Macaca fascicularis: one gene and its partners. The protein of the gene in region 3 interacts with the protein of the main gene of each other region in a pairwise test. Links are inferred from orthologs where the notes say so. Each region holds a gene or a part of one and is shown on either strand. Other genes may lie near its edges.

Region 1 (4,108 bases), on a different chromosome or scaffold from region 3:
CCAACACTCTGGGAGGCCTAGGCGGGTGGATCACAAGGTCAGGCGATTGAGACCATCCTGGCTAACACAGTGAAACCCCACCTCCAATAAAAATACAAAAAATTAGCCAGGCATGGGGGCCAGCGCCTGTAGTCCCAGCGACTTGGGAGGCTGAGGCGGAGAATGACATGAACCCAGGAGGCGGAGCTTGCAGTGAGCCAAGATCTCGCCACTGCACTCCAGCCTGGGCGACAGAACGAGACTGTCTCAAAAAAAAAAAAAAAAAAAAAAAAAAGTAAAGCCACAAGATGTGACTGATTTGCTGCAATCTCGTGGTAAAACTTTAATGGATGAGGAGTGGCTTTTTATGGATGAGGAAAGAAAGTGCTTTTTTGAGAGGAATCTACTCCTGGTGAACACTGTTGAAATGACAACAAAGGATTTATAATATTATACAAACTCAGTTGATAAAGTAGCCTCGACTTCCTGGGCTCAAGGAATCCTCCTGCCTCAGCCTCCCATGCACCTGGGACCACAGGCATGCCACTATGCCTGGTTAATTTTATTTTTTTTGTAGAGACGGGGGTCTCACTTTGTTGCCCAGGCAGGTCTCAACTCCTGGGCTCAAGCAATCCTCTTGTCTCTGCCTCTCAAAGTGCTGAGATTAGGCTAGGTGCAGTGGCTCACGCTTGTAATCCCAGCACTTTCAGAGGTCAAGGAGGGTGGATCGCTTGAGGTCAGGAGTTTGAGATCAGCCTGGCCAACATGGTGAAACTTTGTCTCTACTAAAAATACAAAAATTAGCCAGGCTTGGTGGTGGACACCTGTAATAACAGCTACTCGGGAGGCTGAGGCAGGAGAATCACTTGAACCTTGGAGGTGGAGGTTGCAGTGAGCCAAGATCGCGCCATTGCACTCCAGCCTGAGCAACAGAGACTCTGTCTCAACAAATTTAAAAACAGAAATAAATAAAGTGCCGAGATTATAGGTGTGAGTTACCCTGCTCAGCCTAAAGTATTTTTTAATCAAGGTATGTAAGTTGTTTTTTGAGACATAATGGTATTGCACACTTAATAGACTGTGGTATAATGTAAAAATAACTTTTTTGCCCCATATGATCTGCAGGAAAACATAACTTTTACATGCACTGGAAAACCAAAAAAAAAAAAAAATTGTGTGACTTGCTTTACTGCAGTGGTCTGTAACTGAACCCACAAGAGCTCCAAGGTATCCCTAGATCTAGAATCCAACTACTTCTCACCATCCTTTGGGCTTCACCTTGGTCCAAGTCTCCAGTGTCTCTCATTTAGACAAGTAATTACAATAGCTTCCTAACCGGTTTCCCTTTCAGTCAGTTCCCACCAACAGACACATTAATCCTCTTAAGTAAATCAGATCATGTCAATCCCCTGTACTACCCACCTCACAACAGTAAAAGTCAAAGTCCCACGATCTACAAAGACATACCAGGTCTTACCCTCTTCCCCCATCTTCTACAATTATACTCCAGACTCAGTCCTCTGTAGCCACGCTGGTTCCCATTTTGATGTATAGCTTCTAAGCCTTAAGGCCTTTGCACTTGCAGTTCCTTCTGCCTATACCCCTATTCTCCCAGATGTATGCATGGCTGTGATCCCTCACCTCCCTGAAGTCTTTGCTCATATGTCACCTTTCTTATGACTAACAATGATATTTAAAACTGCACTACCCGGCTGGGCACGGTGGCTCACGCCTGTAATCCCAACACTCTGGGAGGCCGAAACGGGCGGATGCCTGAGCTCAGGAGTTCGAGACAGGCCTGGCCAACACGGCGCAACCCCATCTCTACTAAAAATACAAAAAATTAGCCAGGCGTGGTGGCGCGGGCCTGTAGTCCCAGCTACTCGGGAGTTTGACGCACCAGAATTGCTTGAACCCGGCAGAGGTTGCAGTGAGCCTCTCTGCAGATTGCATAGGCTGGAGTGAAGTAGATCGCGCTACTCTTCACTCCACCCCGGGCGACAGAGGCGCTCTGTCTCCAAAAAAGAAAAGAAAAAAAAAAAAAAAGAAAACCCTGCACTACTTACCATTCTTCTTTGTCTTATCTCTCTCCACTGCACTCTTAACCTTCTAATGCACAATATTTTATTTTGTTTATTGTCTGTCTTCCTACACAAGAGAGATATTAATATTAAGCTCCGTAATATTTTTTGTATGTTCTGCTCACTGCTATATACCTAAATTCTGGTACATAGTTGGAATTCAATAAACAACTGCTAAATGGAATTAACAGGCAACAGGAAAACATTCCAATCAGATATATTTTGAGATACTAATGACCAGACTCCAAGAGTGCAGAGGCAAGGCAGAGTGGAGTGAGGAAACGAAGAAACGGGAGAGGAAAGAACGGGGAAAAAAGGTAAAGGGGTTGACCCACGTGGAAAAATAGCCTACCTGGAGGGTTGAAGGACTTCTGATGCCGAGGAAACCTATCAGAAGACTGTCTCCAATACCATGATGTCGAAGCGTGGAAATTCCAAGGTTGGCCGTTGGGTTGAGGTTGAGAATCAAGAGGGGACTGGGCGTCGAAAGGGGGTTGGGCCCCGGGAAGAATCTGGGCGTCGAAGGGGGGCGGCGCCCCAGGAAGAGACTGGGCCTCCATGGGGGGCTGCGACTCAGAGGAAGGCTTTGACCCGGCTGCGGGAAGCGAGGACGTAAGCGGTGGTGGCGGCGGCGGCAGCATTGCCCAGAACACCCAGCTGTCCCGTGGCGGGGCAGTGTCGCTCAGCGGCCCTAACGTGGGAGTCAGCTCGGGAGACGCACGCCACCCGGTTGGAGTCACGAAATCACTAGCCGGCTCAGCCATACCACCTGCCGGGTTCGGAGTCTAGCACGCGACTGTGGAGCAAGCATTAGGCGTCACTTCCTTTACGGTGAACTACGCCGCTCAGCCAACCACAGGCCTTACGTCATTGGTCGGCGTCGGGAAACCTTCCATTCTTTGCTGCTGATCGCGGGATTCCATTTGGGTAGTTTTGACGTTCGTGGATAGACTCGTATCTGTGACCAGTGTCAGCCACCGCGGATGGCAAGAGACCTAATCGGACCGGCCCTGCCGCCCGGCTTCAAGGCCCGCGGAACAGCGGAGGACGAAGAGCGGGACCCGAGCCCTGGTAAGCGGCTGCGTCTCCGCTGCCCACCAGGCCCATCTACCCCCTCCCTGGGCCGGCCCTGCTCGCTGAAGAAAGTCGGAGGCCTAGGAGGGCTGAGGAATGGGGAGTGGGCGCGGCCCGACCCGAGAGAACTTTTTTTCCCTAACGGTAGCAGTGGGGAGGAGGCTGGGGGACCCTCCTAGAAACCGAGCTTTTGCGTGATTTGGCTTCGTGATGATAATACATTCTCATTTGGCGCTTAATAAGAGCTGCACGCTGCCCTAACTGACTGATACCCATTCAGTCATTTAAGCCGTATAAGGAAAAGACTATTTTCCCATGTTGCAAATGGGTACGCCGAAGCCCATGCCAGCGTAGATCATACTGCTAGCAAGTGATGGAGCGCGACTTAGAAGGAAGCGTTTCTCCTAACCTCTGTGCCATATTGCCTTCTGATTTACAAGAACCTTGCAGATCCTGTTCTCTCCAGCCCCCGACCTGCTTTCCTTGCCTGTCATTCTGTTATTGCATCTGACACATCAGCCCAGTACTCAATCCATCCTGAGTTGCTGCGCAGTTCCTTAACGCTCTAGGCTTCTGGGCTTCCTCTGGTTACATTTCTAAACATAACTGACAAACATCTCCCTATCCTTCAAGGCCCAACTTAAATGTCATACCAATAAAACCTTTCCAAATTCCCCAAAGCATTGTCACGCCTTTCTTTTTGCCCTCGGGTTTTTTCCTAATTACATTGCATATTTGGTACACTATATTTGAATAATTTGTCGACATAATCTGTCCCCACCATTGCACTATGGGCTTCTACCTGAACACGCAACAGGCACTTTGTATATACGAAACGAATGCTTCTCAGATTCCGCCATGCATACCTATCTGCTTTAATGTTTATTCACATTTGTGGACTAGCACCTACAACCCAGTTGGAGAAGAGTAAAGCTGAGTAGCCCTGCCATTTCTGAATCTAATTTTTCTTCCTG
Region 2 (4,014 bases), on a different chromosome or scaffold from region 3:
TTACTATGTGCTAAGCATTCTGCTCGGCACTTTCATGCACCCCTCGGGTAGTAAGAGCATCCAAAGATATTCTAGTTCCTCCCCCACCCCCATTCACTGCCTAGAAGGCAGCAGCCTGCCCCCCTCCTCCCACCATCTCACTACTGATGCAGGGGCCCCATCCCCTGGACCCTAGGCATGGCTTTGCTCCTCAGAATGACACGACCAAAGGCCTTTCATAAAGACTCCAGTGAGGTGACTGATGTCTGGCTTCGTCAATTACAAGTGAATAATTAATACTTGCCAGTAAAGAAATAGACTCATTGTTATGGTGGCCACCTGGAGGCTACAAAAGGCCATTTTGTGACACTCTTGGTGGACCCCTGGGGCCAACAGAGGTCCAAAGAAGCCGCCTTGAGAGTGTAGTCCAATCCTTAAACGTAGGGACTGGGGCCCGTACTGTTTTCCAGGAGCGCTTTTCCGTTAATTGGCTTGTTGCCTATTCATCTCATTCAGTTTTCTGGTCAATGACAGCAGCAGAGGCCCACTGAACATCAGAGAGGGCATGATTTATCAGAGGGGACATGTAGAGTTCTCCCAGGGCCTTTTACCAGTTTTTGAATTCATGTCTACTTCCTTCTCTGGGCCAGCATCTGATTTGAGTAAAATTCTCTAACCCCATTGGGTTGTACATTCGACTCTTGGCCTAATGCCTAAAGCAAGTTTTTCCTTTTTCATTTTTCAGCAGGGACTGAACAAGGCAGCCTTGGGTGCCTACAGAACCGGTCAGAACTGGCCAGGAAATATAATAAAGAAGCTTAGTGAGCAGAGAGCTAATGCCCCCAGCCAGAGGCTCAGTGTGTAGAACTATCTAGAGGCACTGACTTTGTAAGCAAACAACACTCTCTTCTTGAGGTCTAATAATTGCCTTGGCAAAGGGTAGCCAATGCCAACGAGGAACCCTGTGTACACAAGTTTCTCATCCTGAAAGTGGACACTGGGTGCTCAAAAAATGCCTTCCGGTGACAGTAACCCCTGACCAGTTAAACAAACATGCACTCATGCACACACATGCACACACACTCTTACAGCATTCCTGCCCCCAGGGCCAAAGCTGCCCTTGCCAAATACAGAGCTGACAGCTGCTAGATATTGTCATTTCAGGGACCTGTTCCCAAAAGAACTACCCAGCTCCCCACCTCCACTTCCAGTCCACTGTTTGAAATTCCACCATTAGCGATAGCAAATATTTCTACAGTGTTTCCCATTAAAGCTTTGTTTCCCATTAAAATGCCTCCATCCTCTGTTTATTTTCTGGTCAAATGACTTGTAAAGCACCTGCTCCGCATCAAATGCGAACTTCTTTTGTATTCAGCTCTTCAAGATAAACACAATCATTGGCTCCTTTCTTGAAAACAATTTCTGACACTGGAGACTGGGGGAAGAGCAGGGCACTGTATGGAAGTGGAGGTGGTAGGCCACCAGGAGGGCCACAAAGAGAGGGTCTAATGGTGGAGAAAGCAACCGTCAAGGCCTTCACAGACCTGCCCATAGATACGGACCTGATTTTTACCCTCTAAGATCTCAGGGACCCGGGTTGCTGGCACAGCCTGTATCCAAGAGAAAGGTGAGACCCACTGCCCTAACTGGGACACAGACAGGAGGCAGGAAATGGGAACACAGGAACCGACACTCTCCTGATTTGCCCCTCCTGCCAGCAGGACTGCCTCCGTCTCCCTGCCCATGCTGAGGGCACAGGCACCCAGGAACTAGCAGAAAAGGATCCTTGTCCCATTCTTGGCCTAGCTGGAAGGACAGCTGATGGCTCGTAGGGGCTGGTGAATGTTTCCACTGTGCTGGGGAAAGTAGGCAAGCAAAGGTCAAAATCAGATTCCCTGTGCTGGGGGGGCACCGGGGGGCTGTCAGTGTCCTTTCCAGCCGGGTTCTGGGTATAGAGGGCCATACTTCTGTGGACCATCCCCCATCCCCAAGCAGAGAGCACCTCTTCTTCTTTTGCACATAGGTGGGCTGTTCCTTGGGGTGACGGGTAGGGTTGTCTTGAAAAGCAGACGTCACAACAGACAGGTAAGCCTCTTCCTGGTTCCTCAGAGCTCAAGAAAAAACAATCTTTTCCCCCAGGAGTCAGCCCACTCATCCCCTTCCCCCACTTCCATCCTGCCCGCGGCCAGCCTGGAGAGCGATGCTAGTGTAGGCCAGAAAGCTTCCAAGCGGGTCAGACCTGCTTCTCTCTCATCAAAGCCCTCCGCCCCCAAACATCGCCGCTGCGCCCCTCGCCCCACCCATCACACGTTCTGTGTGCCCGAGGCGGCTGCCAGGCCGGCCCAGGCGGCTCTCGCTGGCCCTGGGGGAGGTGACGGTGGTCACAGAGGCAGAGGCAGGGGCCAGCGCTCTGCAGTACCTGGACCCGAGGATGTCGCCGCCGCCGGGCTCGCGGCCACCGCAGGTGTCTCCGGTCCCTGAGATTAGCACCGCCTCCTCCCGGGCTGGCGGCTCCGGCCCAGGCCGCGCACCTGCTGCTGCGGCTACCCCGCCGCTGCGCCGGAACTCCGCGATGTGCTCGCGCCTCCCGGGCAAAGGGTCGGTGCCGCGGGACGCACCGTGGGCCCGAGGGGGAAAGGGGCCGCGTGGGGCCTGAGGCCGGGCCTTGCGCTAGCCCGGGCGCAGCGCCGAGCGCCCCCCGCGGACCGGGAGAGGGGGCGGCCCTTCGCGCATCCTCACGGCCTCAACCCCGTCCCCGGCAGCATCCCGGTCCCCGTGCCCGGCCCAAGGCCTGCGAGCGCCGCTTACCTGGCTCTGCGGCGAGTTCAGGGGAGGGGCCCAAGGCTACCGCAGGGCCCCGCGCCGGGGCGCAGGATGCTCTGCCCCGCTCCGCTGCGCGGCGCTCGGCCCCGCCCCGACCCCGCCGCTCCGCCTGCCGCGGCTCCGCCCCCGCCCAGCGCCCGCCCCTTCTCCGCTGCGGCTGTCACACAAAGGGCAGGAAATGGCTGCGGCGAGGGGCTCTCGGCGCTCCCCGCTGTACCGCTGGCGCGCCCGGGACCTGCCCCTCGGGCTCAGAGGACAGCTCAGCACCCAGGCTTCCTGCCCTGGGGGCGGGAAAGGGAGGGAGGGCTTCTTCCACGGCCTCCATCACTAGGAACCACACCTGCAGCAACCCGAGAACGAGAGCTTCGGCCGCATTCGGATTTCATTGGCCCCACATGATTTCCGAGTGCTCATTTATCAACCCAATCTTTATTGATTACCTATTCCGTTCCATGTACGGTGCCAGGACCTGGGTGTGCACTGGTGTACAAAAGACAGGGTCCCTGCCCCCGTGGAGTTTTATCACCTGCCAGGAGAGACGGGTGTACATTAACCCATCTAACGTCCAGTTACAGCCCAAAGTGCTGTGAGGAGAAGTAGCAGGGTCAAGTGACTGAAGATGCAACTGGGGCTAGGGGAGGGGGCCTTCCACCAGTTGAACCTGGACGCTGATGGGGCTTCTTCGCTCAAGAATAAGTTCTTCCCCTCCCTTCCAGTTCACTGGAGAAGAGTCCCTGAAGCTGCCACCTCTTTAACAGGGGCCTGCCTCAACTTCATTCTGGAATTGCTTCACGGACAAATAGGCGACAGGAAGCACTGAAAGGACAGGTACCTTTCTCTTCAAGGCTTATCTGCCGTTACGGGCTCCTTAAAGAAGCGATTATCTGCCCACCGGTGGCTCACACCTGTAATACCAACACCTTAGTAGGCCGAGGAGAGAGGATCGCTTGAGCTCAGGAATTGGAGACCATCCTGGGCAACTCAACGAAACCTCATCTCTACTAAAAATTAAAAAAAAAAAAAAAAAAAAAAAAAAAAGATGGGTGTGGTGGCATGCACCTTTGGTCCCAGCTACCCAGGAGGCTGAGGTGGGAGGATTGCTTGAGCCTAGGAGATTGAGGCTACTGTGAGCTATGATCCCGCTGCTGCACTCCAGACTGGGTGACAGAGTGAGACTGTCTCACAAAAAAAAAAAAAAAAAGAAAGAAAGAA
Region 3 (4,067 bases):
TCTAAGTCAAACAAATACCTAAGCATAAAAGTAGTGGCTCTGGTGATTGCTAAATCTAACTTTTAAGTTTTTAAGAATAAACACCAGAAGATAGAGAGATGTCCTTGGAAATATGGTGGTTATGTCAGGCGAATCAAAGTCTGAATTCAATTATACTCAAGTTGTTTGTTTAGTTTTTAAAGCTTTTCTATCAATTTGATGAACAAGGTTCCTATTTCTTTTTCCATAAATGTAACACTTATCCACAGCAGTTCATTTTTAATTGGTTTATATTTCACATCTTTCCTGTCCATCCCACTGGACAAGTAACTCAGTTTACTTTTGCTTTACTTTTTAAACTCACAGCAAAATTATAAGTCATATAAAAATTGCAAGCTTTTTTGTTACAGAAACTATTTTTCCATCAGTACAGACCATTTGAGATTTTCTTAGAAATCAAACTTAATTAAATAAACGTAACAGCAATTTATCTGACACACACTTGATCAAGTATTACATTTCTCCTCAGGGAACTAAGGGGCAACCAACCTATTCTTCATTCACCTTCAAGTTAAACAACTTCGTTACAAAACGAAACAGAAAAGGAGGAAATTAATAGCAAAATAGGAGGTATTTCTTATATTCCAGTCAGTTTGCAAGCAAAATCACTGGAGCAAATCATAAGTTGCTGGAAGAGAACAGTAAGTACTTCAAGGCCATAATGTGCTACTTGCCCTCTGTGGTAAGCAAACTTTAGTGGCATCCAATCTAAGTTTGTATCACAGATCAATCAGAATCTTGCTTAACCATTAACCCTTACTCACACATATATATGTATATATATTATAGTTATTAGTGCCAGAAATCTAGTGACCAAAACCACTAATCTAGGACCCTGAACGATTCTACGCAAACTCACCAGAAGAAATTATCGATCAATGAAATTAAAACTTTGCAGAGTCAACTGAAACAATTTTATATTTATGAGAGTGTTAAGAACATAAACGTGGGGTTACCTTTTGCCTCCTTTTACAGCAAAAGGTTTTAACTCTGTGCTCAAAGTATGGAACGGTTTACATACTCTACTCATTTATGAAATATACTCATCTCCAAATGTCTTCATAAAATTGGTAAACACAGAATAAAGTCAATTGTTTATTTTCCTATAGCCAAACGTGTCCTGTTTGAAACATTCAAGTCATTCTATAATACATTTAAGAATTGTGCTGGACACTGCTTCCTTCCACATGCACCTTCTATTGCCAAAATACTGTAGTAAGGTGGGATATTATTTCAAGAGGTTATAGACGTTCAAAAGGAAATGAGAATCTATAGATTAATAGATCTACAGCAACTACGTACCAACAAACGCACAACTGCTACATCAAATTTGTAAATCTTCTTTTTAAAACTGAAAGGTGTTAGTTGATCTGCAATGGTGTAACTTTATAAAGTACAGTAAACCCATGAATGCCTATATAAGGCCTCAACAACTCAGTACAATTCAGTCCACTGCAACACCACAAATTCAAAGGAAATGTGGTCAAGTTCTTAGGGGCACAAAAATATTTTCGCTCAGTTAAAAAAAAAAAAAATGCCCTATTTATAATATACTCTCAGTTAATTTCCTGAAGTTTCATGGCATATATTTAGGTCTTTGGAAACTTAAACATACACACAAAATTTTTAAGTAGCAGAGTTGCTAATGGTTTTAGACGCTGAAGCATGTGCATTCCTGAATATATCCCGTTTAACAAAAAGGGGGGCGCGAATATTCACGATGATCAACTTCTTCAATGCATTGCTGGGCCATGTTCTGAAACTTTTGGTTCTAAAATCTCCTCCGAAATCCACAAAGAGAAGCCACTAAAAATCAGTTGCCATTGTGATTTGGTGCCGACTACCGCTTCTTACTACTCTTTCTTCACAGCCCTCGCCCAGAACAGTGGAGCTCTCCGAAGTCCCAATGCTAGACCGGAAAAGAGAAGCCAAAGGAGACCTGAAACCCTCTTGGCGCTGCAGGAGGCGGTCCGGCTGAAGCGTCCCCCGCTCCTCCACAACTACCCACACGTCAGGCCCGGATCCCGCTGGGAGAAGATATTTAGGAAAGGAGGAATAAGCCGTCGCCGTCACTTAGCGCCGATTTCGGCTCTTCCCGCCCGGCTCTAGTACCTGCCGTCGGCCCTCGCCCATCCCCATCTCACCCCGGCGGGGCTCGGCGCCGAAAGGGAACCCTCTCCTCGCTGGTCTCTCATTCCGATAGGCGCTAGGGCCTCTCGGACTCGGAGCGGGGCTCGAGGGTCTTCCAACAGGCCCCAAGTCCAGTCCTTCCCTCCCAAATAACATCCCGCCGAGCGTGCCCTGGCACGGCGCTTGGGAAGAGGGCCCCGGGCCTGCCTCCCGCCGACACCAAGAAGAAAAGGGAGGGAAGGAAGGGCGAAGATGGGGCCTGCCCTGGAGTCAAGTACCTTGTAGAAAGCGCCATTGGAGCCCCGCACTTCCACCACCAGCTCCTCCATCTTCTCTTCAGCCCTGCTCGCGCCGGGAGCCCGCCCCCGAGAGGTGGGCTGCGGGCGCTCGCCGCCGCCGCCGCCGCCGCCCGCCGCCCGCCGCCGCCGCCGCCGCCGCCGCCGCCCGCCGCCCGCCGCCGCCGCCGCCGCCGCCGCCGCCGCCGCCGCGCTGCCGCACGCCCCCTGGCAGCAGCGCCTCCGTCACCGCCGCCGCCCGCGCTCGCCGTCGGCCCGCCGCCCGCTCAGAGGCGGCCCTTCACCGGAAGTGAAACCGAAACGGAGCTAAGCGCCTGACTGAGGCCGAACCCTCGGCCCGCTGCGCGTGTAAACACTGAAACCACGTCACGTGATCAACGCTGTTCCCTCCCCCAGCGGGCTCAGCCCCTCGGCCCCGCCCTCTCTCTTCAAGTGGCTTGGGAGCGCGCGCATGCGCGCTTCTGGGAACCGTCCGGGGATTCGGGTCGAACGTCAGAGGCGCTGGCCGGGCGTGCGCGGGCTCGGCGGAGGGCGGGAAGGCTGAAGGGCGGTGACAGGTCGCACCGCCTCGCGAGGGCCGGAACGCCCATCTCTGCAGAGGTGCACTCAGTGGCGTGGGAAATCAAATGCATCCGGTTATCCCAGTTCGGCCTCGCTAGGATTCCCGGGGGATGTCTGGTTTGGTTTGGTTTGTTTCAAAGTAGCGGAGAGCCCGACTGAGCGGGAGGTGGAGTGGAAGGCGAGAATAGGGGTGAAGGATTAGACAGAAGAAGACTTTGAACTAGGAACGGTGGCAACCAGGGTGACCCAGGCTTTTGTGACCTGTAGAGGCAGAGGGTGAGGAGTCACGCCCTCTCTCACCAGATTTTGGGTGGCCCTGTGGAGACACCCTGTGCCCTTTAAGGGACATGGATTGAGTCAGGACCTCAAAATGTTAGCCTTTTCTCAGACCCAGCTTTGACCCACGTACTCACCTTTCCTCAACTAATTTTCATACTTTTCACTTGACCATATATTTTTTAAAAATTGGGTTAAGCACTTGAGGTTCATTTCTGCCCCTACTCTATGTGCACCCTGTACCAGAGGGTGGGGTGAACACGTGTGTAGCAGTCATGCGTCCTGTCTACAGGGGCCGATGCACCTGCTTGCAACCCTTTACCTTCTACTGTGAAACAAACCTCAACTTTTTCTTATTCCTGTTTTGCACCGTGCTTATAGCTGCCTTAATCCATGTTCCCTTCGGGATGCTGGTACCCAACTGAGAAGTTTATGTACCTATCATGTGCCAGGCACTGTGCTAAGTGCTAGCGAGAAGTCGGTGAGCAAAACAGAAAAGAAAAAAAAAAGAAGAAAAGACTGCCAGCATTGAACTTAGAACCTAGCAAAGTAGATGGACATAAATCAAATTATCAGGCAAGTAAATGAGGAGTTGCAGCTGTGATAAGGGATATGAAGAATAGGTGCTTCCATGATGGCGGAACATGACCCAGTCTGGGGTGGAGAAGGGGAAATGATTCCAGCTGGAATATGGCAGGTGAGAGTTAACTGGTAGCACTGCGTTGGCCGAGGCAGGATGACCTGCCTCAGGCAGCTGCCCCAGAA

The links.
Region 1: the proteins of FMR1 (region 3) and NUFIP1 interact in a two-hybrid assay, tested with the Homo sapiens proteins (2 studies listed by BioGRID). The link is inferred for Macaca fascicularis from reciprocal best matches to the Homo sapiens genes FMR1 and NUFIP1.
Region 2: the proteins of FMR1 (region 3) and CYFIP2 interact in a two-hybrid assay, tested with the Homo sapiens proteins (2 studies listed by BioGRID and IntAct). The link is inferred for Macaca fascicularis from reciprocal best matches to the Homo sapiens genes FMR1 and CYFIP2.

Annotation. Positions count from the first base shown.
Region 1 is NC_088391.1:24,231,822-24,235,929, forward strand, and holds the start of NUFIP1 (FMR1-interacting protein NUFIP1), read right to left. Parts: upstream 2,861-4,108; 5' UTR 2,825-2,860; coding exon 2,413-2,824; intron 1-2,412. Other genes in the region: GPALPP1 (GPALPP motifs-containing protein 1), read left to right, coding at 3,044-3,131. UniProt on the Homo sapiens protein: Binds RNA.
Region 2 is NC_088380.1:164,060,861-164,064,874, reverse strand, and holds the start of CYFIP2 (cytoplasmic FMR1-interacting protein 2), read right to left. Parts: upstream 2,861-4,014; 5' UTR 2,399-2,860; intron 1-2,398. UniProt on the Homo sapiens protein: Involved in T-cell adhesion and p53/TP53-dependent induction of apoptosis. Does not bind RNA. As component of the WAVE1 complex, required for BDNF-NTRK2 endocytic trafficking and signaling from early endosomes.
Region 3 is NC_088395.1:153,966,648-153,970,714, reverse strand, and holds the start of FMR1 (fragile X messenger ribonucleoprotein 1), read right to left. Parts: upstream 2,823-4,067; 5' UTR 2,499-2,822; coding exon 2,448-2,498; intron 1-2,447.